Linked DNA regions of Pelodiscus sinensis. The protein of the gene in region 2 purifies or fractionates together with the protein of the main gene of each other region. This does not show direct contact. Links are inferred from orthologs where the notes say so. Each region holds a gene or a part of one and is shown on either strand. Other genes may lie near its edges.

Region 1 (15,773 bases), on a different chromosome or scaffold from region 2:
GTACTGCCCTGAACCAGTAACTCATTTACTCATGCTAGGAAATAAAAGCTTCTTTCGATCCATATTACAAACAAATCAGTATAACAAGCTATTCTTGTATTTTAGGAAAAAAAATACATATTTAAATTTAATCAAACCTCTTTGAAAAGTCAGGATAGAGAGTTGGGTTTGTTTGTTTGTTTTTTAAGTCAGGTAGGAATAATTCTGGCCAATAGATAGATCAAGACAACATTGAAATCTCTTACCTGGTATGTGTTGTAGTAACAGATGATACTTTTGTTTTTTGAAAGCCCTAGTTTGCTGCCCTGGTCTGTCGCAAGTGCAAAAGTGGACAAGAAACCAGGTCTAAGTGCATGCTCTGGAGCATTATCATTGGCAACTGGAACAAAACATATTTTACATTGGTAGAAGATCTTTGTACATATGGATCAGGCAACAGTAAACTAGATCAGATGTCATCCATATAAAACTGCTCTTACCTGCTTCCCACTTTCCCTCAAAAATGAATCTCATCTGATGTGCTTTGGAAGATGCATGTATAGCTCTTTATAACTCTGTATAGCTTCATCACCACTTCACCAGCCAGCTTTCCTAATGTCCTGAGGATCGTTTATTTTCTATACACTGGTTTGCTGCACCATGATCTGTGCTGATGCTGTTGTGTTTGATTGTCTCACTTCCAGGAGCATGCAAGACCCAGTCCATTTCACCCAGATCATGTTCATGTCATAGGTCTGCCTTCAGGTTCACTTATATATGAAACTCCTATTGAGCGTCCGTAAATGAGATGGGACCCAAAAACCATCTACAGAAACTTGAATCTTTGGATTCTTAACTTCCGCCATTGTGCCCATAGCACAAGACATCTCATGTTACTGATCAAAAGTAAGGTAAGGATAGCATAGCCCCCAACACAAACACGTTCAGAATTAAGTCAACAGCAAATGGCTGCATTTATCAGTGGGTAGCATTTGGTCATATCAGTCTTAGGATGAAACTACTGCTAAAGCAATCCTGGCATTGTCTACTAATATGAGTGCAGCTTTATGGTATGAACGCATTACATGATTCCAACTCTCTTCACAGAGGATATGACATGACGTGCCTACAGACTATGGTTTTAAACACGCTGCATATACCTAGATAGAGAATGCTCTCAAGAGAGATAACTTAGTGTCCAATAAATCCTTGTTAAAACATCCCAAATTTCAGCATGTTTGACTTAATGCTTAGATCAACCTCTAATATTTACAGTAAACTAAAGACAGGAGGAAGAGAGTCCTGTCTCTATTAGGAAGCCAGTTTTTGTCTTTCAATTAAAAATGTCTATTATTATACAGAAGATGTACAATCAGACTTATGATTTACCTTTGATAACAGGCACACCATCTCGGTCTGACACTAAAATAGCATGAAGACCTTCAACACTAGAGAAAACAAAGTGTTGTTTTTACCAAGCTGACATGCTAGCAGCACAGTTCATTTTTATTCAGCAAACACATACCAAAGTGGGAAGTAGCAAGGAGAGATGTGCAAAAAGCGCCCACCATTAAACTAGCTTTTTGTTATGTGATCACCCAAGGGACCAAAGGCAGACAGTTATTAGAAGTTCAAGCAGAATGATATTGGAAGGTCTGGAGGTCCTGCAGCTTCAGAAAAGGAACTGCTATTCCAGGAAGTGCAGTTTTCACGGTATTTGCACGCAGTTCCAGAGCACAATGATTTAATGGTGCTAATGACTGACCTAGCCTAGCTACTTACGGTACTGAGAAACTGGAAACTACCAAGAATTGCCAAGTCTCCAGAAAGACAGTAGGACGTGTTGCTTGAATACAGGAGTTATTCCAGTAACAAGAGCCTTTTTAAAACACTATTCCCTTAAAATGAAGAATATTGTCCTTCTTTTGGAATGGAGAGATGGATAGGTTTTTTTTAAACTGACTTTTAATTCACTCAAAAATACAATGTACTAAGTTTCAAGATAAGTGTCTTATTAGAAGATGGGTTAACAAAGGATAGATTTTTGCAGCCAGATAAACATTGTTCAGACTATAGCAGGACTGGGCAAAATACAGCCAGGGGGCTGAATCTGGCCTTGCAAGCCACTGGATCCGGCTGCGGACTGCCCCTGCCGGGACCCTCAGGCACACAGCTTCAAGTTCACTCCATGCATCTCTCTACTCTGCAGGGAGGGGGAGGCTTCCTGCAATCTCCTCACCCCCAGCCCAATCTTCAGCTCCGATTGACCAGAAATTACTGGTCAATAGGAACTGACCCCAGCCAATCTCTCAGCTCCTAGTGGCCAGAAACAACTAGCCAATAAGATCTGAGAGATTGACCTGGCAGATGGGAGCAGCGCAAATTTCTTCCCTATCCTGGAGCTGAGACACATGTGGGGTTTGCAGCCTGCAGTTGTAAGTGATTTGGGGCTTCAGCAGGCAGGGAGTCCAGCCTGCCTTGGGAGTGCTGAAGGCTTAAAAAAGCACCTCCCAGGCAGAGCCTGCCTCTGGCACCCTGCCCGTCCTGCACCCCAACTCCCTCCCTCAGGTCACCATCCAAACACACTGCACCCCCCTGCCCCAGGCCATAACTGCCTCCCAGAGCCTGTACCCCACCCTGCTTCACCCCTCCCCCAGGCCAGAATCCTCTCCTGCACCCATACAGCCTCCCAGATCCTGCACCCCAATCCCCTGCCCCAAGTCACCACCTACACCATCTGTAGTGTGTATCCTCTTCTCCCAGGTCACAGCTCTTTCCCAGACTTTGCGTTCTCTCCTAGTGCCTCTGTCCTAGGCCAGAATCCTCTCTTGCACCCAAACCACCTCACTGACCCAAGAGCCCTATTCCCTGACCCAGGTCACAACCTCCTCCTTTGCCCAAACTTCCTCTCAGACCTCACACTGTCTCCTGCACCCATGTCCCTTACCCCATGCGCCCGCCTGTGCCCAATCTTCATCCTAGACCTTGCACCCCTCCACAGAAAAGTGTGGCCCTTGACCACTTTCCAAAATCTTGAAATGGCCCCCTGCCAAAAATTATTGCCCACCCCTGGACAATAGGAACCTATAAATTTAAATATATCATTTAAAAAAAATATCCAGACAGTATGGACAATCTGTTGGATTACTTTCACTGAAGTCCATTAAAATCCAAATAAATGTTATCATACATTAATTGTAAAACAGCACACAGTACAAAGTGAATACTGTAGCATGATAATTAGGTTACCTTGGTAATTTTTTGTACAGAAACCTTTTCAGGTCCTATAAAGAAAAAAACAAAGTTATGAAATATGTTTTATTTTCAAAATATGTATAAAACAGTCTCAATTTTATCACAATAGAAACTATTCATGTCATTTTTTAAAACTTTCTGTTTCTTCCTACCACCAAGTATTTTTTAAAAACTGTACTGAGACACATTTTTTAATTATAATCTAACCAAAACCCCCAAACACCTTCTTTGGTACTTTTATATAAAAATAGCCAGTGTTCCAGAATTTGCATATATATAGAACTTATATTACTTATTCATTTAATTCTGTTAATCATTTCAGAAGCTCTGAGAATGTACATAGTTTGTTAACCAACCAAAGTACATTTAAGTGAAATGGCAGCAAGCACACTATTGCATTTCACACTTCTCCCGAAGTGTTTTAAATATAACCTTTCATGCTAACACACTAACTACATAGCGTTTTGAACATCTGAATACATTTGCTGAAACAAATGCATGTCCCAGCACATCTGAACTTTGTTTTAGCATCTTCCAGCTATAATTATTTCACATGTTACTGACCAAAGAGCAGATTCTCCCTCCTTTTGCATAATCATGTCATTTAGTTCTGGACATCCAACACTCTGGTCATCTGAAGAAGTGGATTGTGCCCAAGAAATCTCATGATACCATCTACATTTTCTGGTAGCACTTTAAAGACTAACAAATTATTTGTTGTTTAAGTTTATCCTGTACAGACTAAGTAGGCTACCCCCTGAAGCTTTTGAAACGTCATTCTCAGACAGTGAAGGCCTATTTTCCTTTCAAAGTGTTTATAGATGTCTAAGGACTTAGTCCTACAAATACTTTAGCTCATTAGGGTTTCTAGGTGTCCAGTATTGACCCAGACAATCAGGTATTTTCGCCTCCTGTCTGGTAAAAAAATTCAGAAGATACCAGACACCTAAAATGTCAGGTATTTTCTGATTTTTTTCCCGGCCAGGGGGCGAAAATAAGGGACACCTGGCAACCCTAAGCAACCAGGCCCAGCCTGCCTGCTTCCCCCACCGAATACCTCATTCTGCAGGGAAGCTGTCTGGTCCAAAGCAGGGAGAAAAGGCAGAGAAGATGGCCGAAGTAGCGTCGCAAACAGCTGCCTCTCAGAAAGTCATACCTAGGGCGTACTGAGCATGTGTTATGCAACTGAGCATACTCAGCAAAAGCTGCTGTTGCTGTGGCCCTCACTCTGCTGCTATACCTGCAGCCTGTTAAGAGAGGCAGAGCCCAGCCCCTGTTCTTAAAGGGACCATGCAGGGTTTTTTTGTTTTTTTGCGCTTAACTCTCAGGGCCCCCCCCCTTTTTTTGCTCAACAACTTTGGTCTCCCCTGCCGCCCCCCTTTTTTCCCCACCAACAGAATTTTTTCCTCTGTTTTTTTTTGGGGGGGGGGGGGGGGAGGGGGATGGTCGTCAGTATTTTTGGTTAAACCATCTGGCAACCCCATAACTCACGCATAGCTTTACTGCCATAAGTCAGTTCCACTGCACTGAGTGAGGCTTCATAAAGGCACGCCCATATGGATCAGCATATAGGATGGGTCTGTAAAGTAAGCTTTTTAGGGCAGGTAGCATATTTGCAAAATACTTACATCGGCCATGTTTTGAAACTTTTTAAATAAATCAGATGTACTGTCAAAGTTCCTGAAAAATAAGAGCCAACAATAGTCATGCACATAAGCTTTTATCTGCTCTCTTTCTCTTTTTTTGTTTAGTCTCACATAAAATTAAGGAGGGAGCAACATCCCTATTAATTTCTAGCATTCCCTAGCTTTCCTTCCTCTGCCAACGTGAAGAATATAATGCCCAAGGCACCTGCCCAAGAGAGCGAGTTCTGGGCATTGAACTGCTCTTAAAAGAAAATGTCTTACAAGATGCACACAAGCCCTTCTCCAGAGGGCCTTCCTCAAAAGTAGTCCCAGGGGCAATCATGGATCAAAAGCTGCATAAATAAGATAGAGTCTCAGGGCAAGTCTACATTTAAAAAGCTACAATGGCACAACTGTCCAGATGTAGTATTTTAGGTTAAGGTCCTACTATGCTGACAGGAGAGCTTCTCCAGTCCACAAAGTTAATCCACTTCCATAAAAAGCAGTAGCTATGTTCACAGGAGAAGCTCTCAGACAGCACTATCAGACAGCACCAAGAGTTAGGTTGTTATAACTGCATCACGTGGGATGGGGGTTAAGGATCAGAATCCCCTTCAGTATTTGAACCAAGCCAGGTTAGTGAATGTGCCAACCAATAGACCAAATCTGGTGATTAATCCTGGTCACATGCCACCTGAAGCATGATGTGCATATGCTAAGAGGACAACTGCATGGCATAGGGATGTGGATTTTTCATACCCCTGAGCTACATTTTTATGCCAATGTAGGTTTGTAGTGCAAATCTAGCTTCAGGGATTGGGCGCTAAAAAAAAAAGGGGGGGGGGGAAATGAGTGTGAGGTTAAGGTAAGTATACATTATTTCTTGATATTCTCTCTGGCTACGTCTACACTGGCATGATTTTCCGGAAACGCTTTTAACGGAAAAATTTTCTGTTAAAAGCATTTTCGGAGAAGCGTATCTAGATTGGCCACGGGCGCTTTTCCGCAAAAAGTGCTTTCGCGGAAAAGCGTCTTGCCAATCTAGACATGCTTTTCCTCAAAAAAGCCCCGATCGCCATTTTCACGATCGGGGCTTTTTTGCGGAAAATAAATCTCTGCTGTCTACACTGGCCCTTTTGCGCAAAAGTTGTTTGGAAAAAGACTTTTGCCTGAACGGGAGCAGCATAGTATTTCCGCAAAAGCACTGACAATCTTACATGAGGAAAAAAGGAGGGACAGGTGAGGAAAATCTGTTCTATGAGGAAAGATTTAAAAAAAAAAAAACACACAAGGAGCTTGGGGCTGTTGACAGAAAAAGAGGGTGGGGGCTGGTAGAAAAGGGTTGCTAGAGGGACTGAGATCAATCGTTGTCTGTATCCTCTAAGAGCAGCAGAAGCAGTAACGGGCCGAAGGCAGCCTGGCTACGGGGCAGCGGAGACCCGGGCCAGGTTTCCAGAGCAGGCTGGAAGGTCCCCTCCCTGCAGGTTTCTAGCACAGACGGGACAGACACCGGTCAGGCTGGGCCAGGGTTACCTGACCCTACGGGGGGCCGGGAGACGCTCAAGCCCGGGCGTTCCCGCACGGCGAGGGGGGGGCTAGCGAGAAAGGGGCCGCGCCGTGGGCTGTGGCGGCGCTGGGGGGAGGCGGGCCCGACCGGGCCCCTATAGCTCGACTCCCCGCACCGCATAGAGGGAGGAATCAATACAGTAGGCCCTACAATAACACTAGCTACAGCCCCCCTGCTCCCTTACCCTGGTCGCTTCCGGGATCCCCCGCAACAACAGCCCAGGCAGCGAGCGGCCGCTTCTCCTTTAGCCCTCGATCACGTGATGCCCCACGCACGAAACAATCACAGACCTCCCGCCCCACCCACCCCTGCCGGCGTCACTTCCGGCTGTAGCGTCAGCTCGGTCTCCCGTGTAGCTACGGAGCATGCCCGACCGTGAGAGCCGTGACAGGGCAACGCGAGTGGGAGCGCGCAACCACGGCGGCGTCTTTGCCCGCTTCCGCCCCAACGCAGAGGGTGCGGAGGCGATCATGTGACTGCACTTCGTTGAGCCGCGGCCGGGCCCTGGAGGCGTCCAGAGGCGCGCGCGCACCCTGTTGCGGAGCTCGCGCTGTTGAGCATGCTCCGTAGCTACGCCCAGCCCTGGTTGTCAGGCATCGCAAAGCCGGCGGTGCTGGTGCTGCAGGGATCTTGCTAAGGGGGCGGGGCAGTGCGGGGGGCCTGTCTGCTAGGGCTGGAACCAGAGACCATTAGGACTGGAAGGGACCTGGCTGGAGAGTGTCCAGGCCCCTGCCTCAGGGCCCAGCATCGTCTCTAGGCCAGCGGTTCCCAACCTTTTCCAGATGGGGATCCATTTCCACAAGTGAGGAAGACTTGGTGACCCATATTTGGGTCCCGACCACAGGTTGGGAAACCCTAGTCTAGCCAGGCTCTGATAGATGTGTATTCAACCCACCCTTAAATATCTCCAGTGACAAAGATTACATGACCTGTGTTTGTGGGTAATCAAGATGACTCTGCTTCTTCCCTTGGTGCTGTGAGGAACATGCCTAAAAGCTGAGTCTCGGTGCTGCATAAGGGTAGGGAAGAGTGTGCTTAGTTCTGGCTCACACCGAAGCTACCCCTGCTACGGGCTCTGCCTTTGTAGTAAGAACTTGCAGAGCCACACCAGGGGTAGCTTCCGGGGCCAGCACATAGGGTTGCAAGATGATTGAAACAAAAATACCAACCCTCCTCCCCCCCCCCAAAAAACCCACCAGGAAAAAATTCTGTGGGGGGGGAGAAGAGAGGGGAAAGTGAGGGGAAACCAAAGCTGCTGGCTCCCCCAACCCCCCCAAAAAAAGACTCCAAGGACTTAAGCCCAAAAACAGCATGTCCCCTTTAAGGGTGAGTGCATGGATAGGAACAGGGAAGTGGTTGAGCACTAAGACCCAAGGGGAAGATTGCTTCCCTTAGGTCTTTTGGCCAGTAGCTATTTTGTGCCAGCAGCCTTGGGGAACCAGGTAAGCATGGGGGCTGAAGTCAGAGGGGCTAGGGGTGTTGGGAGCTGGGGGGATGCGAGGGAGTGGGAGGCCAGGCACTGAGTGTTTGTAAGATTGCCATGTGCCCAGCATTTTTGCCTCCTGGCCAGGGAAAAATTCAGAGAATACTAGACATCTCAGGTGTCTAATAGTCTGAATTTTTTTTTTTACCAGGCAGGAGGAGAAAATACAAGACTGTCCAGGTGAATACCAGACACCTGGCAACCCTACCAGCACGAGCCAGGACTAAGCAGTCTTGGCTCATGCCAGCCCTGGGACTGCTACGGCTCTGCATTTTAAATATAGTAAGAGCTCACTGCATTTAAAATGCAGAATTGCAGCAGGGGTAGCAAGCGCCCCCCTCATTATTGACTAATGGAGTAGGCATTGGAAATTCCATTGACTACTCATTTAGCTAATTAATCACAACTTAACATCCCTAATGTCCACAGTAGGAAATTTCAAAATAATTAAAAGTAACTCCAAAAATAACAATCAAAATAGCATGTCCCCGACCACACAGGAGCCTCAAAATTAATCCGAGGCAGGCTCCATTGTTGTAGATACGCTACCTCGTCTTAGAGCCCTAGGAAGTACTGGGAAATACTTACTTCAAATTACTCTGGGGAGTAGTTAGTTATTTTGAAATATTTCAAAATAAGTATTCTCCGTATGGAAAGTAGGAGTACAGATTTCAAAATACCCAGCTTGTTATTTTGAAATAATAGGCTTGGTAATGTGGACGCTCCGCTTATTATTTTGAAATATGGGGAGTTATTTCAAAGTAACTCCTTAGTGTAGACCAGGGCTTAGAGCAGTGGTTTCCAACGCAGTGCTCCCCAGCACAGTGTGCCCAATAAGTGATTGGGGCTGGCCCCGCCCCCGGACACATGGCAAAAGGGCAGTGCCAGCCCCGGGCGCGAAGCACATGGGCGGCTCCGCCCCCAGACGCACAGTGCATAGGCTGTGCTGGCCCCGGGCACACAGTGTATGGGCGTCCCTGCCCCTGGGCACGCGGCACAGGAGTGGTGCCGGCCCCAGGTGCGCGGCGCATGGGTGCTGCCGACTCCTGGGCATGTCTGCCCCTGGGCACATGGCACAGGAGCAGCGCCGGCCCCGGTAGTGCAGCGTTTGGGCGGCTTGGGTGCCCGGTATGTGAATGGCCCCACCCCCAGGTGCCTGGCAGCCCCAAAAGGTTGGGGACCACTCAAAAATACATAGGCTCATGAACTTTCCTGAATAAAACCCACTTCATCAGATGAATCTTGGGGAGGAAGATGGTGATATTTTTCAGAGTGCATCCTTTTTCCCTGTAACTTTTGTAATGGTGCAAAAAATCACAGAATGAAGGACCTACCGAAACCTAATGCATGATGCAGTTTACTTAATTTTTATCTGATTATCAGGACAAGAGTGGAAGTTTACTATCAGTTTATGAATTTCTCAGCAAGATTTAAGTCATTTTCTTCTTTTAGTACTCAAGAACAGAATATCCAAATGGAGTTTGTTTGAGCCTGTCATTTCTGATAAGTTCAGACTTTTGCTGTTTACATGATCGTTCCCAGGAAGATTTTTTTTTTTAAAAAAAATCTCCCCAAAATAGCGAACTCTATTTGTACACCACTTTTCTGAGTAGCTCATTTTCATTATCACTGCTGTTCACTCATTTTTAAATAAAGTAGCTTATGTGTCTTAATTATATAAACTGTAGACATACAGTATATTAAATCCAGGTTGGGATCTAATATAAAATTGTAAGGGATGAGGGGTACATATGTGCTTGTGCTACTTATTTATTTTTCTAATTTGAAGAGGAACATTGTTACTTATAAAGAAAGGATACATGTAGAACCATAATAAATCATATGCCATTTTTAACGTTAAACTCAGACATACATGTAACCCAGAAGCACTGAGAACAACGGACAAATGAGAATGAAGGCTGCTCTACAGCCTTAGCTGAGAGAGAGTTGGGTTTTAGCTCAAGCTGTAGAGGCACATGGCTTTAGACACTAAGGTCCCAGATGCTGACGACCCAGGTCCCTGTGTAACAAATGCATAACTAATGAGCAGGATTAGGGGTAAAATATGGACCCTATTAAAATCAAAAGAACTCCCTCTTTCCTGTCCCCACACGCTTTTTTCCGAAAGAGCTCTTTCGAAAAAAGGTTTCTTCCTTGTAGAAAGAGGTTAACCAATGTCGGAAAAACCTCTCAGTTCTTTCGATTTTTTTCCCAAAAGAACGCGATTGCAGTGTGGATGTAATTGAAGTTTTTTAGAAAAAAAAACTAGTGTAGACATACCCTTGGAGACTAAAAAATTATATATATAGTATCATGAGCTTCTGTGCACACAACCCACTTCTTCAGACATCCGAAGAAGTGGGTTGTGACCACAAAAGCTCATGATACTATACACTTTATGACTGAAAGTTGTTTTTTTCAGGGGAAAGGAAAACACGTTTATTGAAAGTAGGCAGTTTTCCTTATGGTAATTAATGGCTGTGCAGAAAAGTCTTAATTTATAAAACAAACCAGCAATATTTTCCAAATACATAAGAATTTAAGATGAAATATTTTAGTAGCTAGATAACTTTGTCTTAAAAAGAAATAATTTATCTTATAAGATCAAATATGTGCCTATTCTTAGTTCAGTATCTACATGAGCTGAGCATAAATAAAACACAAGCCTCTGAATTTAAAACTAGAATGAATAGTTAAAGTTTTCTTTAACATGTAAATAATAAGATGTTTGCACATTTACACACTGAAAATAATTTTATTTTGATATGTCTAATATTACATTAGATATTATAAATAAGGCAAGTCTCTTTAAACTTAACCTTTACATCTTGGAAATGCCATAGAGTTAGACAAAACAAAATAAGAATTTTGTTAAGATACCACCTTCATCTCACCAGATTTCCTTTGCAAGGCTTCCATTACATTATTAGGTGTATTGAACATGATTTGCAAAGCCTAATCACATTTCCCATATTGCACTGCTTTTTAAAAGTCTAAAGAACAAACATTTAAATTCCTTGAGATTTTTAAAGCTTTCCATGATTTTACATTCTCCAAATGTCAGTTTCACAACTGACCATACAGCCAATGCCAGCAGCAAGTTCAGAAACGTCATTTGAAATGTAAGCCATTTCTAACTACCTTCCCCAGTTTAAGTTGAGAAATGCTTTTACTTTGTGAGATTTCAGATTTCTGGGAAGCGCAAAAGGCTATCATTTTCTTTTAAAAACGGACTCTAATGAGAATGTTTACCCACATATTGGGGGAAAAAGTATTTAAAGATTAGTTACACCAGAACCCTCAAATTTGGATGGATAGTTGTAATGCCTAATGGAAGCCCTGTTCTGTGCAAATTTACAGTGGTACAATATTAAACTATCACAAAGTTTGAGGTATTAGCTGGAAAAGAAATATATACACCTATAGACATGCACACACAGTATTCACAAGTCTAGTGGTCCCAAGACCAGCAAACCTTGGTATTTAGTGAAAAGGAATCATGTACTTGCCAGGAAAATTATATATGCAAAGAAGCCTTAAAAACACACATCACATAACCCTTAATATAAGGAATATGTTATGTTTCTGTTCAACATGCTTAAAAGGGAAATTATTTAAACACATTGAAAAAAATTCTTATCTTTAATAGTGAGTAACCAAACAGAAAATGGGAGTCTTAAACCTGAAACTTTCCTTCAAGATTACAAAGTCATCTAAAAGAGGGGATACCAAGTGGTCTTATTTTCACCTGCTTTCCCTGAAACACACAGACTAGATCTTCATGAAGGCAAAAAGGATGAGTTTCATTTTCCTTCTCCCAAGTTTTTCCTATGAGGTCCCCCCACTTCCAACTTCTACAGCTAAAACTGTTGAGGTTAGAAACGTAGATAAAGCAATTTATTCCATTAATCCAAAACTTGACATACTGATCATTGTGTTCATTCAATTCCTCTACTCCACTATGTGGAAGGAAAAAAACGCATCTCCATGGCTTATGCAGATTTAACAGAAGAAAGGGAACCTTGTATTGGTTCTTGATCATGGAACCTAAGCTTCCCACAGGGTACAGGCAGTCCCGGACTTATGTCGGATCCGCAGTTACGAACGGGGCTGCCCCAGAGTACACGGACTGCGGGACCTCGCGGTCCTGCCGCCCGTGTACTCTGGGGCTTTCTCTGTGTCTCCCTGGTCTGCAGAGCCGCGGGAGGGGGGGGGGGGGGGGGCTCGGGCAGTGAGGGGGGGGGCTACAGGAAGCCCGAGGCAGAGTTGCTCTGCCCCGGGCTTCCTGGAATCAGCTGCTGATCAATTTCAACTGACTTGGGGACGCTTGGGGTTCTTAAGTTGATTCTGTATGTAAGTCAGAACTGGCGGTCAGTTTCAGCAGCGGCTGAATGTATGTAAGTCGGAACTGGCGTCCAGATTCAGCCGCTGCTGAAACTGACCGCCAGTTCTGACTTACATACAGATTCAACTTAAGAACAAACCTACAGTACCTATCTTGTATGTAACCCGGGGACTGCCTGTACTCAGTGGATTACACTCCCCACAGTTCAAGTGGTAGGCTGACTTGGTCAGGACAAAAGTGAAAATTCCCATCACGAAGCTTCATTTGTTTTAAAGAAGCACAACTGAAAAATTGTCAATTAACAACCGTCAAGTATTGTGGAAAGCTTATCCATTTTCATAAGATTTTATACACTTCTGCTATATTGGTTAATACCCCAAAAGCAAGAATGGATTAACTTTTTTTTAGCTGAAATTCAATAATGTTAGTTGTTTTTGGAGGAACAGCTCAATTTGGAGAAGGAAATGCATGAAAGGTAACAGAGAAGAAGGTTAAAATGTATTTATGCTCATAGACCATGTCAAGATAGTTCATGACTTACTTTCTACTTCCCATTAATGCCCATTTCCTGGAAATGCATTTTACAGATATATAGGTGTATGCATACATTAGTATTTGCAAGTGCATGGATCATACGACTATGGATTTGCAGGACACTATATGTATTACATACCATATGCAAAGGGGGAAATTAAGTTGCGTAATGCAAGATTGTCGGTATTTTATAATGTACAAACAGTAGTTGTGAATATTCAGTATTTTGCCAGTTTAGATGGTTTTAATACAAAGAACAACTTCAAAACCCCCAAGACCATAGGGGTAGATTTTCAAAGGTAATCAACACCCAACAGCTCTGGCTGTACTAAACAGGAGCTGCTGAGTTTTGGGAACTTTTGAAAAATCTGACTACTTTAAGTGTCTAAATAGGAGCCAAGCTCTTCTGCGAAATCCAGCTCACAACAAATTGTGAATACTTTTGAACATTTGGACTTATGTGTAAAAAAAACCCAAACAAACAAACAAACCAAGTCAGGAATAGAGACAAAATATTCTTGCAGAATATGAAAAAAGCAGATTAGTTTTAATAAAAGTTGAGCACCTACCATCCCCTCCCAAAAATAATCATAGGAACATAGTTTAAGACAGTTGATTTGGTGCTATTAAAGTAACTCCCAGAGAGTTAGGTTTGCTGTAAAATCTTCAACTGCTATCTACTGCCTCAAACAGATCATGGAAGCTTCTGGTATAATTAAAATGGCTTATATGGAATGGAAGTGAATTGTAAACAGAGGTTTAAGGTTAAACTCTTCCTTACTGTACATCAAGAATGATTTAAAGGTAAAATGCAGTGGCTTTGCTAAGGGCCTGATCCTGAAAATGGTTAATTCCACTTGCTTCCCTCCCTCCCCCTATCCTCTGAGTTCCAGTGACATTCCCAAAGAACAACTGCATCACTGTCACCTACTAAACTGAAATACTCTCTTTATACAAGCATCACATATCCTGTATCTAACAGTTTCAGAAAGTACCTTAATTTGTCAGCATATGTGGATACGTATAACATACGTACCCAGTATTTAATAAATGGTATGTTTGCCATTGACTTCAATTAAATGAAATTTTGCTACTGATTTCAATGAAAGCAGCTTCAGGGATTTTGTGTATGGGAGTCAGCTTGCAACCTCAAGTCCTAAGGAGGAAAGGGGGAGTATATGGCTACATAAAATTGTTAAGCACTGCATTTTCAGCAAAATTACTTCCAAAGTCCTGAGAAATCCGAGCTCCAGATTTTCTCGTTTCTGCTAGAGTGAACCACAATTACTAAAGGGACATGAAAATAGGGGGTTTAAATAATGAAATATCTCTATTACACTTACAATATATTTGTGGAGTGTTATGTTTGTTCACTTTGGAAAAAAACTGAGAAGGTTGCAGTCCAGCTGTCTAAATGTGGGTAATAATATTCTACATTCACAATATAGTGTCTTTCATCTAGCTCCCTCAGAGTAAATATATGGTAGAAAAGGGTAGAGGGCTTCTGACTCTCAGTCTTCATTCTATCATCAGACCATGCTTCCCCCATGTAGTTATCTAAATTTTGTTAGAGATACAGTCACTTTGAAGCCTACGTGAATTAAATGAAAAGGGCAAAAGATTCAAATAATGTATCTTACCTTTGAGATTTCCTGCCAGTTTTGGTTTTGCTATCACATTTTCCTATGTATTCCTCTGCTTGTTTCTTTGTGAAAAATCCACACAGAGGACACTAACTGACTGACTATTCAGGGGAATCGGTGAAACTACTACAAAATAAACCTGAAAAATAGATACTGTGTTTTCCAGTCAATCAACAACAGTATTCAGGTTTGTTACTTATAACAACAGTAGGTCAAAGATTTCCAGAAGAAAATGTTTAAGCTGTGTCCATTTCAAATAAAGTGCTAACTGTATTTTAATGGCTATAAACTGTCTTTTGTTATCTTACAAATAAGTCTTTTAAAAGTCTGAAATGCACTTAAGTTTTACGAAAGCAGAACTTACACTGAAATGTTTACTAAATGTGCAAAATATATATTTCCTTAAATTGGTATTAAAACAGGGTTCTACCCTGACTAAAACAGATGTTATTTTATGGGGAGATTTTCAGAGTCACTTTGCAAAGGAAATAAATAGGTTGTTTTTACTTCTTTACTATACATCACATTGGCCTACCAAGATCTGTTTTGTTAAAAGATTTTTCTCAGCTTTTTTTTTTTTTTTTTTTCAGTTGAGAAATTCAGGTTCTGTTAACCCTGGGAAACAACAATGACTGAGAACCAGTGGAGTAACTGACTCACAAAAGACCAGAATAAAATCTGAGCAGCTGGAAAGTGCAGGGATTTTTAGTTAGGCTGCTTAAAAACCTCTGGTTTTGGTATAATATTTAACTTATGACTAATGAACATTTCGATAAAGGATATTTACCCCTTTGGTTGTCATCTTTCTCACAAGAAATATACTTTGAGCTACCCAGAAGATCCTTCAGCAAAACCAAAGAAGAGACTTGACATGCCTGATATTTTTAACCATAAATTAAAAGAAACAAAAAACAAACAAAAGCCCCCTCAAACCACCAGGCTTTTACTTTTCAAATACATTACAAAGAAAAAAAAAAGGACACATAGCTAACTTTAAAAGAATCCTTGCACATCACCTTTAAGATAGGCAGGTCTTTATTCTACAGGAAGTATACCCATGCTTTCCCAATGCCTACCCTGGTCTCAATAAGAGACTGCAAATACTTAAATCTATTACGTGTGAAGCAGCATTTTTTTCCTCAAACAAACATGTTTTTGAAACACAATATTCTTAGAAAGAATTAATTTTCCAATAATTTATAATCCAATGGAATGTAGCAGCCTAGTTCTAACCATATGGTAACTATATATTTACTGTAAGCAGCTTTATTAAAAATATTTAACTGTGGCTTCACAGCCACAATATTTTATAAACACAATAAAATTATTTCTTTTTATGTTC
Region 2 (16,019 bases):
CACATGGTCCTCACAACATTCTTTCACACAGCACTATGTCCTACAGAAGGGGCCAATACCCTTCACATCTCTAGCAGATATGGTCCTTCCTTCTTCAACTAAAAAGATGCCAGTGCCCACCTCCATCAGGCAGATACTGCTATGGAGTCACCTGAGTGGAGCACCCACAGGGACACCACTCACTGAAGAAGAAGAAGTTACTCACCAGGTGTAGTAACGATGCTTCTTCAAGATGTGTGTCCCTGTGGGGCTCCACTACCCTCTCGTCCTCCCCTCTGCTTGGAGTCTCCATGGACTTCAGGTAGAAAAGGAACAGATGGGACTTGCACCACATGCGCACGCCACAAACAGCGGGGGGAAGGAGAGAGACACTAGGTGCGCAGGCGTGGTGCAAGAGGCACTGCTAACTAAAAATCTCCGATCAGTGGTGCGAGGATGCACTGAGACCTCAGTAGAGCACCCACAGGGACACACATCTCGAAGAACTATCATTACTGCACCTGGTGAAAACTTCTTCTTCATGCCAGGATGGTGACTTGAACAGTTGTGAACTAAGAAGCATGGTCCCCTTTACCTCCCAAAAATTGCTTTTCCCTAAATAACATATTACTAAAATACTGAAAATTGGCATAATCTAGGAAAAAACAAATTGTAAATGGAAAAGACACTGAAAGTTTTATAAATGCTGAATTGCAATTTCAAATTACCTGATTTCATAATAATTGAGATATAACTCCTTGCCAGAGGATGTTGTGAAGACTAGGACTTTAATAAGGTACAAAAAAGATCTAGATAAATTCATGGAGATTAGGTCCATCAATACCTATTATCCAGGATCAGTAGAAATGGTGTCTCTAGCCTTTGTTTGTTTGGAAATGGATGACAGGAGAGGGATCACATGATGATTAACTTTTGTGCTTACTTCCTCTGGGGAATCTGGCATTGGCCACTGTCAGAGTCTCTTGGAGAGCAGCGCCACTGGTGAGTGCCACACATCTGAACAAGCGCACATGACCTCATTGTTGATGCACAAGACAAAACTCTCTCCGCTTGTGGATGGAAAATCTTAGAAGGAACACTGGTAGGGCAAGGTGGAAATTTCAGCATATCTTTACTTTTGTTCCAGAAGTTAAAAGTAAAAAGCCCCTTTCTTTGGTCTGACCCAGTATGGCCATTCTTATGTTCTTATAATTTATATGTGATCAAGAGAAAACTTTGTTCTCCATTTTTGTTTTTTGCATGTGAATCATTTTTGGCATCTGCAACTTTGATCCTTTCACAAACTTTAGAATAACTCCTGCGCCCTCTCCCCCACATCTTTTCTAAACCACAACACTGAGTTTGCAAGAACTGATTGCTCAATCAACTTCTCTTTTTCTTTTGTACCACCAAAAGTTAAAGTAGTAATAGTCACTGAAAAAGAAACAGTTTTCTTGTGGTGCTACGTTCAGCTGAGGTTTGAAATGAATTGGATCAGCCTGGAAATCCTATTCAACACTTTTCCCTTGTTGTTACCTTACCAAAAAAAACCAACCAAACAAAAAAACCTGCAACCTACTTAATGATGTAGTGCAGCGTTTCCCAAAGTGTGATCCTGAATATAGACCCAATACTGGTCTTTGGAAACAAAATATCGGTCCTTAGAAAATATACAAATTATCACGCACAATCCTATTAATTTGGTACATTTAGTATTTTCCCGTGTGATGCGCACACGTTTTCATGCGGCTTAGTCTGTGTCATCGGTTTTTGTGTCACGTGACACAGCAGTCTCGGTTTGTTTCTGCGTGGTGCGACAATGTATACATCTTTTTAGGTTAACTGCTTAAGTTTTCTTCGTTTATTTTCAGTTAAATACACTCTTGTTTTCATCTTCAATATGGATAAATGGCTGAAGAATGTGACTGGACATACAACTAACAAATGTTCAAATGATGTGCAGCCTAATACAAGTGAGGATAAGAGGAGAAAAACTTTTTGGACCCACAAGTTTTCCGACAAGTATTTGAAATTTGGTTTTATAAGTTTTGGTAGTGATAATCATTTGCCATTATGTATAATCTGTCACGCAGAACTATCCAATGAGTGCATGAAACCATCAAAACTGAAATGCCATTTGGAATGCAAACATCCAGAATACACACAAGTAAGCCCATAGATTTTTTCATAAATAAGAAAAATGAATTATATTCTGCTAAAAAAAGCATGAAAAGTGCACTTTCTATGTGCTCTTCAAATGAAAACTTTGTTGGCTTCATATGAAGTTTCAAAACTAATAGCCAAGACAGGTTATCCACATACTGTTGACGAAAAGTTAATACTTCCTGAATTGTATATTATTACATCTCGTATTTATGGAGGAAAAAAAGGAAATCAGTTGGGTTCGCTGTCTTTATCCAACAATACAGTGAAACGTAAAATTGAAGAGATGGCAAAAAATACTGATGAAACTCTTGTACGTCGAATACAGAATAGTCAGTTCTTTGCATTACAATTAGATGAAAGCGCTGATATAGCAGAGGCTGCAAATTTGATGTGTTTTGTTAGATATGATTACGAAATCTCCATTCAAGAAGATCTCTTATTTTGTAAGCCACTTCCAACAAGAACAATGGCTGACAAAATTTTTAAGTTAATCGATTATTTTATTATTCAAAGCGATATTGACTGGAAAAAATATTTTGGACTCAGTGCTGGCCTGAGCCCTTTTTGGCACCCTGGGCCCAGGCGTGTGGTGCTTCCCCCGGGCGCAGGGCGCATGCACAGGCCTGCCTGTGGGGCGCGGGCCCGCCCCCCCTCCAGGATGCGCAGGCCCGCTTCTGGGGTGCACAGCACATATGCTGCCCATCCCGGCCCAGGGCAGCACTGCTAGCACACGCGCCGGGCCGTGCATAGCCCCGCAGCCGTAGGGGCAAGGGCACTGCTGTCCGACGCTGCGGGAGCCGGGCGCGTGGCTCCTGATGGCAGCTGCACGGGATGCTGTGCACCTCTTATAGCTGCCATGAGGCGCCCCCCGTGGGTTGGCGCCCTAGGCAGCTGCCTGGCTTGCCCATGCCTCCGTCCGGCCCTGGTTAGACTGAGCAGTGATGGGACTCAAGCAATGGCAGGGTCTTGCACTGGGCTTGTCCCGTGGATTCGAGCTGTAGCGCCAGACTGTGCATGAGTGTATTGTAGTATTCACAGAGAGGCACTATCTGTGAAAACTATGCCATCTCTTTTGAGTTCAGCTCTTCAAGAATGTGTGAAGCTTATAAATTATATAAAATCTTGACCTTTGAATTCCAGAATCTTTACTGCTTTGTGCAAACAATTAGGAAGTTAACATGAGCATCTCATATTACACTGTGAGGTTCGATGGCTATCGAAAGGAAACATTTTGAAATGACTCTTTGAAATGAAGGATGAAGTTTTATTGTTCTTGGAGCAACACTCTCCATCAGCAAAAGATGCTATATTTAAATTTAAACACAGGTTTCATGAATTTGATTGATTAACAATGGTGGCTTATTTATGTGACAGATTTTGTCTTTCAAATAAGTTAAGTCTGAATTTACAAGGCACTAAAATTAATATTTTCAAAGTTCACAAAAAAATTGAGGCAACAATTAAAAATTTTTTGTTTATGGACATAGGGAGTTAGCAAGAGAAACTTTAAATCTTTTTGTACTTTAACTGAATTACAAGAATAATATCCTGAAACTAATATCTCAGATGTGATTTCTGTAACAATCAAAGAACATCTCTTGGGGCTACCATCAAGCTTAAATGAATATTTTCCTCCAATTGACACCAGTAAAATGTGGATTAAGAACCTGTTTACTGTTGACACCAAAAATGAAGAAATATTACAATTGAATGCATCAGAAGTGGATCCATTAATTGAACTTTCCTGTGTCTCTGCCTTAAAAGAGATCTTTGTTAAACTCTCCAGCTGTGTCTAGACAGGCCAGTTTTTCCGGAAAATTAGCCACTTTTCCAGAAAAACTTGCCAGCTGTCTACACTGGCTGCTTGAATTTCCGCAAAAACACTGACTTCCTACTGTAAGAAATCAGTGCTTCTTGCGGAAATACTATTTTGCTCCCATTCGGGCAAAAGTCCCTTTTGCGCAAAGCTTTTGCGCAAAAGGGCCAGTGTAAACAGCTCAGATTTGTTTTCCGCAAAAAAGCCCCAATCGTGAAAATGGCAATCGGGGATTTTTTGAGGAAAAGCACGTCTAGATTGGCACAGACGCTTTTCCGCAAAAAGTGCTTTTGCGGAAAAGCGTCCATGCCAATCTAGATGCTCTGTTCCGAAAATGCTTTTAACGGAAATCTTTTCCGTTAAAAGCATTTCCGGAAAATCATGCCAATCTAGACGCAGCCTCCTTGATTGATTTTTGGTTTGAGTTGTAGAAATGAATATTCACATTTATCTGAGAAAGCAATCAAATTCTTAATGCCTTTCATCACAACATGTAAGTGTGAAACTAGTTTCTCGTCTTTGGTTTTCTTCAAAAATAAATACAGAAGTAGATTGAATGTTGAACCAGATTTGAGGATAAAACTTTCTTCTTTTGCTCCTGACAAAAAGTTGCTATGTGATGCAAAACAACATCACCCTTTCAATTAGTTCTCTTTTGAGTTATTTAAAAGCTATAAAGTGTACACATAATAAATGACTTATATTCAATTCATTAAATTATAAATAAACAAACTTTACAATTGTTGAAGCAAAACACAGGACTATGTAGCACTTTAAAGACTAACAAGATGGTTTATTAGATGATGAGCTTTCGTGGGCCAGACCCACTTCCTCAGATCAAATAGTGGAAGAAAATAGTCACAACTATATATACCAAAGGATACAATTAAAAAAAAGAACACATGTGAAAAGGACAAATCAAATTTTAGAACAGAAGGGGGATGCGGGGGAGGGGGGGAGAGAGGTAAATGTCTGTGAGCTAATGATATTAGAGGTGATAATTCTTCCACTATTTGATCTGAGGAAGTGGGTCTGGCCCCCGAAAGCTCATCATCTAATAAACCATCTTGTTAGTCTTTAAAGTGCTACATAGTCCTGTATTTTGCTTCAGCTACACCAGACTAACACGGCTACATTTCTATCACTATTTTACAATTGTTAAAATTCTACTGGTTAAATTGTAATTAAGGTAATAACAATAAGTTAGTCACTTAAGTATTTTATATCAAGATTTATATTATGTACTATTATTATTGTGAATAAATAATAAACTGTGAAAATTTATTCATTTTTCTTTCTTTTTTTTTAATATGCGTTTATATTTTTGGGCCGCAAAAAAAGGTACAGAAAAAAACGGGTTCCAACTATATAAAGTTTGGGAAACCCTGCTCTAAGGGATAGGGTTGGCACTGGGGGCTCTGGGGACTGGGCTTTTGGCAGACCGGTAACATTTTATTTGCACAGTCGCATGTTCATCATTTGTATAATGAATATGCAAATAAAATGTTGTTGGTCCGCCAAAAGTTTGTGACTGGGTTTGCTGTCCCTGTATCTAAAAGATTAGGAACCACTGATGTAGTGTAATGTTGAAATATTAAAGACACCAAACTTGTTACAATAAGATGGTTAAATCCTGTCTATGTTAAAAAAGTCTCAGTGGCATAGCTGTGTTAATTGTGTATCTGCAAAATCAGCAAGAAGACATGTGGCACCTTAGAGATGAACAGATTTATTAGGGCACAAGCTTTCATGGGTAAAACCTATTTTATCAGATGAACTGAAGTGGAAGTCACACAGGTAGGGGTGTATATATTGTGTTCATTAGGCTAATCAAGTTAGAGTGGAAGTTGCTCATTCATGGCATTTGGTGTAGAGATGTGACTATTAACAGGGGAAACTGCCTTTATAGTGTGTTAACCAATTAAATCCTTATTCCGTCCTATATTGTACTGACTTTGCAAATGAACTCATTCAGCTGTCTCCCTTTGTAATTGGGTTTTGAAATTCTTTTGTAACCATCCAATGTGATCTTGAGTTTGTGTTTTAATAGTTATACAACTTTAATTTTTTAAATCTTAGCATCTTCTGTTCTTATATACTTATTGCCCAACCTATCCATATTTTCCAACAACTATAAAAATTTAAATGTAAAACTTTTAAACACTGAGCTGCAAAAATCGATAAATATTCTAAAAGCTTAAAACTGAATGTAATCTAGCACTGTGTCAATTAAGACCATTTGACCCATGCAATTAACTCAATTAATCATAATTGCAATTTTAGTTACACTTTTAGAAACAGAATCAATTGAAATGTATTAATTATTTTTGGATATTTTTCTACATGTTCAAATATACTGATTTCAGTTACAACACAGACTACGCAGTGCACAGTACAATATCTTTTATGCCACCATGTCGGTCTTGATCTCCTGGTTTTCAGTTTCTGTCTCTTGCCTACAGAGGGTGAACTCAGGGCGCCCAGGCCACATAACCCACCCACCTGGGGAAGGGCTAGGACTGGGGTGTCCAAACTTTTTTCAAAGAGGGCCAGATTTGATGAAGTGAACATGCGTGAGGGCCGACCATTTTGCCTGACATTCTTTGAACCATTAAAACTAAATACAAATTAACTATTTTATGCAAAGTTTATTGCAAACGGCATACTTTTCATTTCATCACATGGATGACAAATCTAAACAGGTGTTAAATCACTCTGCCTTTCATATCTGAAGGCCAGATGAAAAAAAATTCCAGGAAGCTGAAATATATGTCAGGAACATTGTAAAGTACATTACATATTATTGGTAATAAAGGTTGTCTGTCAACTTTTAAGTTCAAAAAATATGAACAGGAACATAACACCAACTATACATGTTGTGTCCAAATATATTTATAACTGATTTAGACCAACTGACATTAACTGAGATTTTACAATGTATTCATCTCAATACATATGGATTCGTTGGGGGCCATAAAAGATAGATATTGCCAAATTACCTGGGGGGGCGTATTAAACCGGAACACAGGCTGCAATTGGCCCGCGGGCCAGACTTTGGACATGCCTGGGCTAGGACAACCCCTCTCCGCTCAAGGTCCCACCTCTTCTCTCAACTGAGCCAATGCAGAGTGGACGGAGAGGCACAAAACAACTGCAGCTGCCTTGCTTCCTGTCCCCCATCGCTGCCAGTCTGTGTGTGGGGCGGGGCAGGGCGCGGACCTCTGCTGCCGGCACCTTCCAGCCCCACTAGCCCCCTAGCTCCCTTCCAGAGCACTGAGTGAGGCAGCCCAGCGACAAGTGGACGCCCGCCTGGGCGCTCAGTGCGCGGAGGGGACGGGGCTCTCCGCCCAAGGCACTCTGGGAGATGTAGTTTCAGAGGGGTTTGCATTAGTGTCCGTCTGCAACTGAAAAAACCATACAGAAGCAAGGAACAGTCTGATAGCACCTTAGAGACTAACACAACATGTAGATGGTATCATGAGCTTTCGTGGGCACAGCCCACTTCATTGTTTTTAGTGTGGTTTTTTTTCTAGGAGATGTAGGTAGTCGCTCAATCCTGCTATTTGCCCTCCCCTAGAAGAGGGCCCGGGAAGAGCCTAGCGCAAGGCTCTCTGGGAGTTGTAGTCCGCCGGAAGCAAGCGTTCCCTTCGCTCGCCTGAGAGACTCTTCCAGTGAAAACTTCCGAGTCCGCGCGCCCTTTGGGCTCCAGCCGCGCTCCCCGGCACCCGCCCCGCCCTTCCTGTTTGCGCTTCGGAAACGCCGGGCTCTGGACTTCGGCCGGCCGGGCGGGCGCGAGGGAGCTGTGGTGGAGCGCAGGTCCCGGCTGCTGAAGGTAGAGCTCTCGCATTGATGCGTGCTGGGCCCGGCGCTGCCGTTCGCGGGGAGCCCTGTGTGGGGGGCTCCTGCCTCGGGCCAGCACAGCTACCCAGACACAGACAGCCTGTTATCGCTGCCCCCAGCCCGTAGACCCTGCTTTGGGCGCTGGCTGCAGGGTGCTGGCAAAATCCTCCCTCGGAGGCCAGGGGAAAGAGTTATGAGGAGAGGAGCGTAGCGTGGCAGGTAGCTGTTTCCATATGCAGAGGAAAGGTAAAATCCGAGCCCCACTGCTATGCAGGGGAGTTTTGCCATTGAGTTCAGAGGGGCTAGCATTTCACCGTAGATCTTTATTGCTTTTCATTGGCGGCTGCGATTAAAGTGACAGCCACGTTTAATAGTCGCAGTGACTATCTTAGAATTGTAGGTAACAGATCTTGTATCACATGGAAATGACAGCTGGAGCACAAAGCTTGGAAACGAAGTATCTTTAAATGAAGCAGTGGTCAGCATGAAACTACTTTAAACTGGACTGAACTAGGCTATAGCCACAAAGTTGTGGAGAGTTAAGTTTTTGTTATTTTGTGGTGTGTGTGTATATATATATAACAGTGACATAGAGCTTATTATTTATCTGCATTGATGAACAGTACAGCATGTATTGTGATAGCCATAAAGTCTTGCAATGCTCTGAACTGTGTGACTTACAGCATATGATACATATCTCTGTTAACAGGGCTGCCCTGTTTTACACATAGTGCTTTTTTACACAAAGTTGTAGAGATTGTATGTACTGTTGTAATGAAAATGAATGTGATTGTGCTCTATCACATCATAATAAAATTTAAGCTAGCTATGATAGCTATATATCTAGAATTAAGTGATTGATATCTTCTACATCTAATGTAAAAGCTGCATTGGAGAGATTAAAAGACTTGAGGGTCCACGAAGTGGCTAGTGCATTTCCTGGCTCTGTCTCATTCAGACCCTAGAACAGAACACACATTGATGAGTTTAAATCAGTCTTATCATCCAGATGTTGCCTATTCTGCTATTTCCCTTCACCCTAAGGAAGGTAGTACGAGTTGTGAGTTGGTCTGTGGAGAAGAATTTTTTTTTTAATTGAATGTAGTTTGTAAAAAATCTTTTCAGATGGTGTCCAGTAATATTTGCAGAATCTTGAGTTTTTAAAAAGGTTAGGTAAGTTACACATTCAAATCATTCTATTTTAGGCTAAGATACATTGGCTGACTACTGCCACATTTATTGATTTGTTTCAGATACACTTCCTTGGAGTCTGCATTAGGGATTTCAACTTGTAGTCGACTATACATTTAACCAATAAGTCTAGGCTTACTTACTGGGTAATCTTGTTGATTACATGCCTCTTCTCCCCCCCCCCCCCCCCCAACCCCCGCTCTTGCTGCCTCTGTATCAAAGTCAGCAAGAGGGAGGGAAACAGGAGCTGGCTTAAAAGCTGGTTCCCCTCAGCACCAGCTCGGCTCCGCAGTGCTGCTGCCTCCTGAGCTCTCCTTGGACAGAAACTACTCCATCTCTCATGGAGCAGCCTCTGTCTGCAGTGAGCCTAGGCCCACCGTGCATGGAAGTTGGTCTCCAGCAGCAGCCCCTGTCCACGGGAGACCCAGGCTCGCAGTAGACAAAAGCAGCTCCCTGGGAGGTGGAGCAGCTTCTGTCCACAAGGAACTCTGGCCCATCACAGACAGAAGCTGCTTTGCAGCAACCTCCCATATCTCTCTATGCTGATGGGGGGGAGGCAGCACTATGGAGCTGGTGCTGGGGGGAACTGGCTTTTAAGCCAGCTCCTGCTTCCCTCCCCCTTGCTGCCTTTGATACAGAGGCAGCAAGGGTGAGGCTGCTGCTGCCCCTTTTCCTCCCTCCCACAGTAGTCTATGTCTGCAGGGAACTTGGACCCCCACAGATAGGGGCAGCAGTGTGGGGTAACAGGTCTGTGTGGGGAGCTTATTTTTAAACTTGCTTCCCTCGCAGACTGGCTCCTGCCTGGCACCCTTTGCTGCTGCCTCTGATACAAATGCAGCAGCTCAGGGTGGAAGGGGGCTCCCTGGGAGTAGGCGCACTGGCTGCTGGCCCCACCTCTGGGGACTATAGAATAGTCGAGTAACCAATAAGAATTCATGCGGTTGTTCAACTATTCAATTCCCCGATATCCAACATACCTCGTCTACACCCTTTTTATGTAGTATTTTCTTTCACTAATCCAGTATATATTATGTTCTGTGATCAGTGAGATGGCCTGGAAATGGTTTAGTTAGGAATGATGCATCATAATTTGTCAATACTTCAGTTTCTTTTGAGTAGATTGTACCAATTTCATCTGACTACTGCCATTAACATTAAAAAACTACAAGTTTATTTCATTATAAAAATGCTATGAAATCTCTTAATAGGAGTTATGTTTAAGCAGACTGGGCCATCTGTGGTTGGTTTCCAGCCAAATTCAAAACTGGTCAAAGAACAGAATTTAGGAAACTAGTTTAAGTACAGTAGCTAAATTGTTAAAAGCCAACCCACCAAACCAAATCTCACAAGTCATATTTGAAGTGTGTTAAAAAGACATGCCTTAAATATGTTTAAAATGTAGTTCTGACATAGTTTAGCTTTGTTCATAAAGACTGGACAAACCATAATGGGCCTTTTTACATTAGGGAATCTTAGAAAACTGTTTAACATAATATGCACAGTTTCAAGAGCTTTTGTAACAATGGACGCCTCTTACTCCCAGGGGAATTATGTACCAAAATTTTTAAATTCTGTACACATTTTAAAATTTTACAATTTTTTTGTGTCAAAATAACACTGCATAATCACTCCAGTTTCAATTATTTAGAGTTTTATTTCAAAATATCTGTCAGTAAGTAAGTCTGTAACAATACAGATACTCACAGAAATTCCCTTAGAGATAGAAACAATCCTGCCCCTAACCCCACTACTTTTCTGCCTCCTTCCTCAAGCCCAGACACTCATACTCCCTCAACCTACCTCCCCCCTGGCCCACACTCACACACATTCGTTCCCATGTTCAGCCCTCACCTCACCTCCCATGGCCCAGAGACACTCCCTTGTCCCCAGAGCTCAACTGCTGGGACCCCCCCTTGCCAATATGCTCTCACTCCTCCCTTCCCCAGCTGCTGCCCTCCCAAATGAGTTACTAACACCCCCAGAGCTCAGGTGCTCCTTCCCTCAGTTCACACACCCATGTCCCATATTTCCCAGGGATCCAGAGGGAGCAGCTGAGTCTTATGTCTCCATGGAATTTCCTGTGCACTACTCCTTCCTTCAGGGTGTGCTGGGAACTGCACCTGTTGGGAAGTCCTCCAAGATCCTCCCCCTAGTCTTGTCTTCTATTTGGGAGCTGGGCTCTCCTGGATACTGTGGCCCCTAATGGTGTTCAATAGCTTTGCAGACCATTTCTGTGGGGGAAAGTAGGAAATTATGTGCACCTAACATTTCTATGCTGCACAGTGGCACAGAATTCCTGCAGAAATAACTGAGTGTTAATGGAATTTTGTTGTTACAAGTCTTCAGGAAGAGTAGGACCATTAAGTCTATCTGTTCTGTTGTGTGGTTGTATTACCCAGGTTAGATGTCTGTTCTAACAGTTTTGTATCTGTCACAGGGTGGGCACTTACTCCCATATCACCTCCTGCTGGTCAATTTGGGAATTGGTTCTTCAACCCTGGAGCGACACCTTTCAGCTAGTGTTCCACCTGCTGGTACCATCTAGGTCAGAGCTCCTGCACTCTAGGGTCCTTCCTTCAGGCTTGGTTTGTTGGGGGCAGGAGACAATTACTCCAGCCTTTTTATGGCTTCTACGTATCACCTCCATTTAGTTAATGAGTGTTAAAACATACATAAATACTGTTTCTAGTATTTGTTTTTAGACCAGTGCAGATAGGACCTAAAGAAAACTATCTCCAGCTAACTGTAGTTGCAGACTACCAACCATTTCACCTTGATTACATATTAACTTGAAAGCCATGTTGATCCAAAGCTAGGAGAAAAAGACTTTACCTTTTCTTCTGATTTAGGATTCCTCAAGATGGCCTCAAAGGTTTGTGTTTACTGTATGATTTGTTTTCATTACAGATTGAAACTTCCTAGGGTACAAAAGTCATGAGTCACGCACTCAAGTTACAGGGTGCCGGATATGGGGTTCAAACTCTACCTCTTCCCCTGTCCACTACACCGAATCTCAACCGGGCATCTTTACATAAAATAAAGAAACACTTTGGCTGTCTACACTACGGTGATTTATCGGAAAAAGGTACGCAAATTGTGAAGCGCAATTTGCCTACCTTTCCTCAGTAGTTTTTTCAGAAGACTCTTCAGAAATTTGGCCTGTCTACACTGGGCCAGATTTCGGAAAAGTCTCCTCTTTCGGAAGAGCCCTTCTTCCTCTTTCGGAAGAGCCCTTCTTCCTCTTTCGGAAGAGCACTTCTTCCTCGTGGAAGGAGGAAGACAGGGCTTCCAAAAGAGTGTCTGCTTTTCCACAAAAAAAGCGGAAGAACAGACGTGTTCCCTGGATGCAGGGGAGTGTTTCCAGGATACCTCCTGTATCTCAGAAAACCCCCATAGTGTAGACATAGCCTGCAATAACACACAAAAGAGTGCTAAGCATCAACCAGTACAAAGATCTGTTCCCTATAGCAGTGATCTTACACATACTACTGAAGCCCAAACTTTTTCCAGCTGTAGACATGGAGTAATAGCTTTGTAGCACAGTTGAACTGATTAAAGCTTTTTGGAACTCACCCGTGGCATTGTGAGGTTTAGGAAATTAACTTCAAATATTTAACAAATATTACCCGTCCATTTTGAAAGGCAGTCCTAGGACACTTTAGATTATAAACTTTCCCAGGTATTTCTGTAGCATATAATTCACATAAGCATCATGTGCACAGTTTACAATAAAACCCTTTTGAATTCTCAGACAACCCACAGGTTTTTGATCAACAGCATCCATCTCTTACCACAAGTTCACATATCACTCACAATTGTCAGCCAGTTATCTCACCAAGTACTCTTCCTGAAGTGAGACATTCACAATGTAGCATGCTTTCTATAAATTGCTAGCTTCTTGACAGCTAAACTTAGGCTATATCTACACTAGCATTTTTGTCAGTACAACTTATGTTGCTCAGCTGTGTGGGAGGGGAAAAAACTACACCCCTGACTGTCATAAGTTGCACTAAGAGAAGCACCAGTGTGGACAGCATTATGTCAGCAGATGCTCTCCTGTGGACATAGTTACTACCACTTGTGGGAGGGAATTTAATTATGCTGATGGGAGAGCTTGCTCTGTCAGCAATGAACAACTATGAGAGCAGGGAACTGGACTTGATGTAAATGTGTAACTATTGAAATTTTCAGCAGTTTCATGTTTATAACCCCTCTCCTCTGCTTTTTAATATCCCTAATAACTACACAGAAGATCTTATAGCTGTAAAGTCACTAGTGTAGATATAGCTAACAAAATTGATTTGTAATATGCTTTGAAATTCTTGGGTGAAAAGCCCTAAATAGGATTTCTCTGGCATTTCACAGCTGTCCTATATCTTATCAAAGGCTTTTTCATTAGGTCAGTGATTCCCTGAAGCTTTTTCCCTTGGAATCCCTGGCTATGTCTAGACTGGCATGATTTTCCACAAATGCTTTTAATGGAAAAGTTTTCCGTTAAAAGCATTTGCGGAAAAGAGCGTCTAGATTGGCACAGACGCTTTTCCGCAAAAGCACTTTTTTCAGAAAAGCGTCTGTGCCAATCTAGACGTGCTTTTGCGCAAAACAAATCTGAACTGTCTACACTGGCCCTCCCTTTTGCGCAAAAGCTTTTGCACAAAAGGACTTCTGCCTGAACGGGAGCAGCATAGTACTTCCGCAAGAAGCACTGATTTCTTACATGAGATAGTCAGTGTTCTTGCAGAAATTCAAGCGGCCAGTGTAGACAGCTGGCAAATCTTTCTGCAAAAGCTACTGCTTTTGCAGAAAAACTTGCAAGTCTAGACACAGCCCCCATGTATACCCCTGCCTTTATACTGAGGCACAGTATAGTAGTCATGTCTATTTTTTTCTGTCTGTGCTCATCTCTTTCTCCACCCTCTCTCCCCCTTTTCTATTTTCTCTTTTTTTATTCCTATTTTTCCTCATTTACAAGGAAAATTCTGCAGTGTTTTTGTTCCTCTCTCTCCTCTAGAGATCACCAGAAGCCCCCACACCACTTTTGATAGTGAATTGTCTTATGAAGGCAATGCGCTATAGGCCACATTCCTCTTGCAGCTGAGTGGTGTTCTAAGAAGAGACAAGCTTATGCTCATGAGCTGTTTTCCAATTCCCTGTATGTGAAAGTTGCTTCTATGCCCATATCTATTTGGGGCTCCCACGGGCACAATAAAGATGAGTTTCAAGAGCTGCCCTCTACTTAACCTACTACATATTTATTGTGGAATATCTGCACTAGAGCCAACTCCTCTGTTTTCTTGTCTTTTCTGCCTCATGTGTTCACTGGATTAGACAAGGAACCCCAGACTGGAAAATACTACTTGTAGTAAGATGAAGGCCTAAAACATAAGCCAATATAGCACAGGCCTGGTCTGAGGCCTAGCTACTGTAACCCTTCTGCCAGGCTGAGTTAATAGCAGCAAGGGCTGGGTTCAGTATCTAGGGGCTACGTCTAGACTACATACCTTTTTCATAGTTGCTAATGAAGCAGGGATTTAAATCTCCCCCACTTCATTAGCATAAAAATGGCTGCCGCTTTTTTTTGGCACGGAGCTTTGCCGGAAAAAAGTGCCAGTCTAGATGCTGATCTTGCGGAAAATAAAGCCTTTTCCGAAAGATCCCTTATCCCTCTATGAAAAAGGGATGTAGTCTAGACGTAGGCAGGGGCTCCCCTCCCAACAAGGTAATACAACACCAGCTCTAGCCCCCACCCTGTGACCTGGGAAATCTTACATACACCTCTGGGTGCCTCAAAGAGGCCATTCTTCCCCTCTCGCAAGCACAGAGCCTCAGTATAGCAGCAAACCTTTAATAACATGAGGTAACAGACATCAGCATTAACTTAGGAAAACACCACATCTCGGATTCATAGACCAAACATGAGTAAAGACCCTCCCCCCAGCCACAAATCCCCAAAAGTCCAACACCCCAAGAGTCTCTTAAGTCCAGCAACCCGAAAAATCACCCAAAGTCCAACACCGAAGGCTGTGTCTACACTGGCCAGTTTTTCTGGAAAATGAGCCGCTTTTCTGGAAAAACTTGCCAGCTGTCTACACCGGCCGCTTGAATTTCCACAAAAGCACTGACTTCCTACTGTAAGAAATCAGTGCTTTCTGCAGAAATACTATGCTGCTCCCGTTCGGGCAAAAGTCCCTTTTGTGCAAAACTTTTGCACAAAAGGGCCAGTGTAGACAGCTGAGATTTGTTTACCGGAAAAAATCCCCGATTGCGAAAATGGTGATCGGGGCTTTTTTGCGGAAAAGCGTCCGTGCCAATGTAGACGCTCTGTTCTGAAAATGCTTTTAACAGAAAACTTTTCCGTTAAAAGCATTTCCGGAAAATCATGCCAGTCTAGACGTAGCCCAAAAGTCTCTGCCCTGGGTCAGTGCCGCCCCAGGGTTCAAAAGTTCACCCGGCAGGGTTTCACCATCCCAGGGTTTTACCATCCCAACCTGGAGGGGTGGTGATGGATGGCTCCGCCTCTCTGTAGGGTTCTGCTGCCACCGTCAACGTGAGTCACTCCGCCACACTCTACCTGTCGTCCAGTGAACCGCCTCAGCTGTCCCACGAACTGTCCGGCTCCACCAGCAGTCTCGGTCCACTCCCCTGGCCGCCAGCTGGTTGCTCCTGCAGCTGCTCCACTGGCTGTCTGCTGCCGCTCCTACCGGCCGCAGGTCATTCCCGCCAGCCGCTCTGCTGCACCCCCTGGGGCAAACTGCTCTGCTGTCAGCCTGTGCTTGCTGGTTGTCCCTGCAAGCTGCTCTGCTAGTAGCTCAGCAGCATAGCACCAGGCTCCCCACAACAATAGTGATTTCAGCTCTTTCGCAGTATAGCACCAGGCTCCCCACAGCACACAGTGATTTCAGCTCTTCAACAAGTTCAGCTCACAGTAGAGAAGCCTCAGTGCTAGGGTTCCACAGTGAAGTCAACTTTGCAGCTCACAACTAGACTTCTAATAGAATCTAAATTAGTTCTGATATTCTACAGAAAA

The links.
Region 1: the proteins of SLC38A9 (region 2) and LAMTOR3 purify together in Homo sapiens (affinity purification with mass spectrometry; 3 studies listed by BioGRID and IntAct, with this or other methods). This does not show direct contact. The link is inferred for Pelodiscus sinensis from reciprocal best matches to the Homo sapiens genes SLC38A9 and LAMTOR3.

Annotation. Positions count from the first base shown.
Region 1 is NC_134715.1:23,352,338-23,368,110, forward strand, and holds the start of LAMTOR3 (ragulator complex protein LAMTOR3), read right to left. Parts: upstream 6,885-15,773; 5' UTR 6,611-6,884; intron 4,915-6,610; 5' UTR 4,872-4,914; coding exon 4,863-4,871; intron 3,264-4,862; coding exon 3,229-3,263; intron 1,428-3,228; coding exon 1,369-1,427; intron 380-1,368; coding exon 246-379; intron 1-245. UniProt on the Homo sapiens protein: As part of the Ragulator complex it is involved in amino acid sensing and activation of mTORC1, a signaling complex promoting cell growth in response to growth factors, energy levels, and amino acids.
Region 2 is NC_134716.1:96,828,983-96,845,001, forward strand, and holds the start of SLC38A9 (neutral amino acid transporter 9), read left to right. Parts: upstream 1-7,595; 5' UTR 7,596-7,793; intron 7,794-7,812; exon of another isoform or gene 7,813-8,047; intron 8,048-10,749; exon of another isoform or gene 10,750-11,537; intron 11,538-16,019.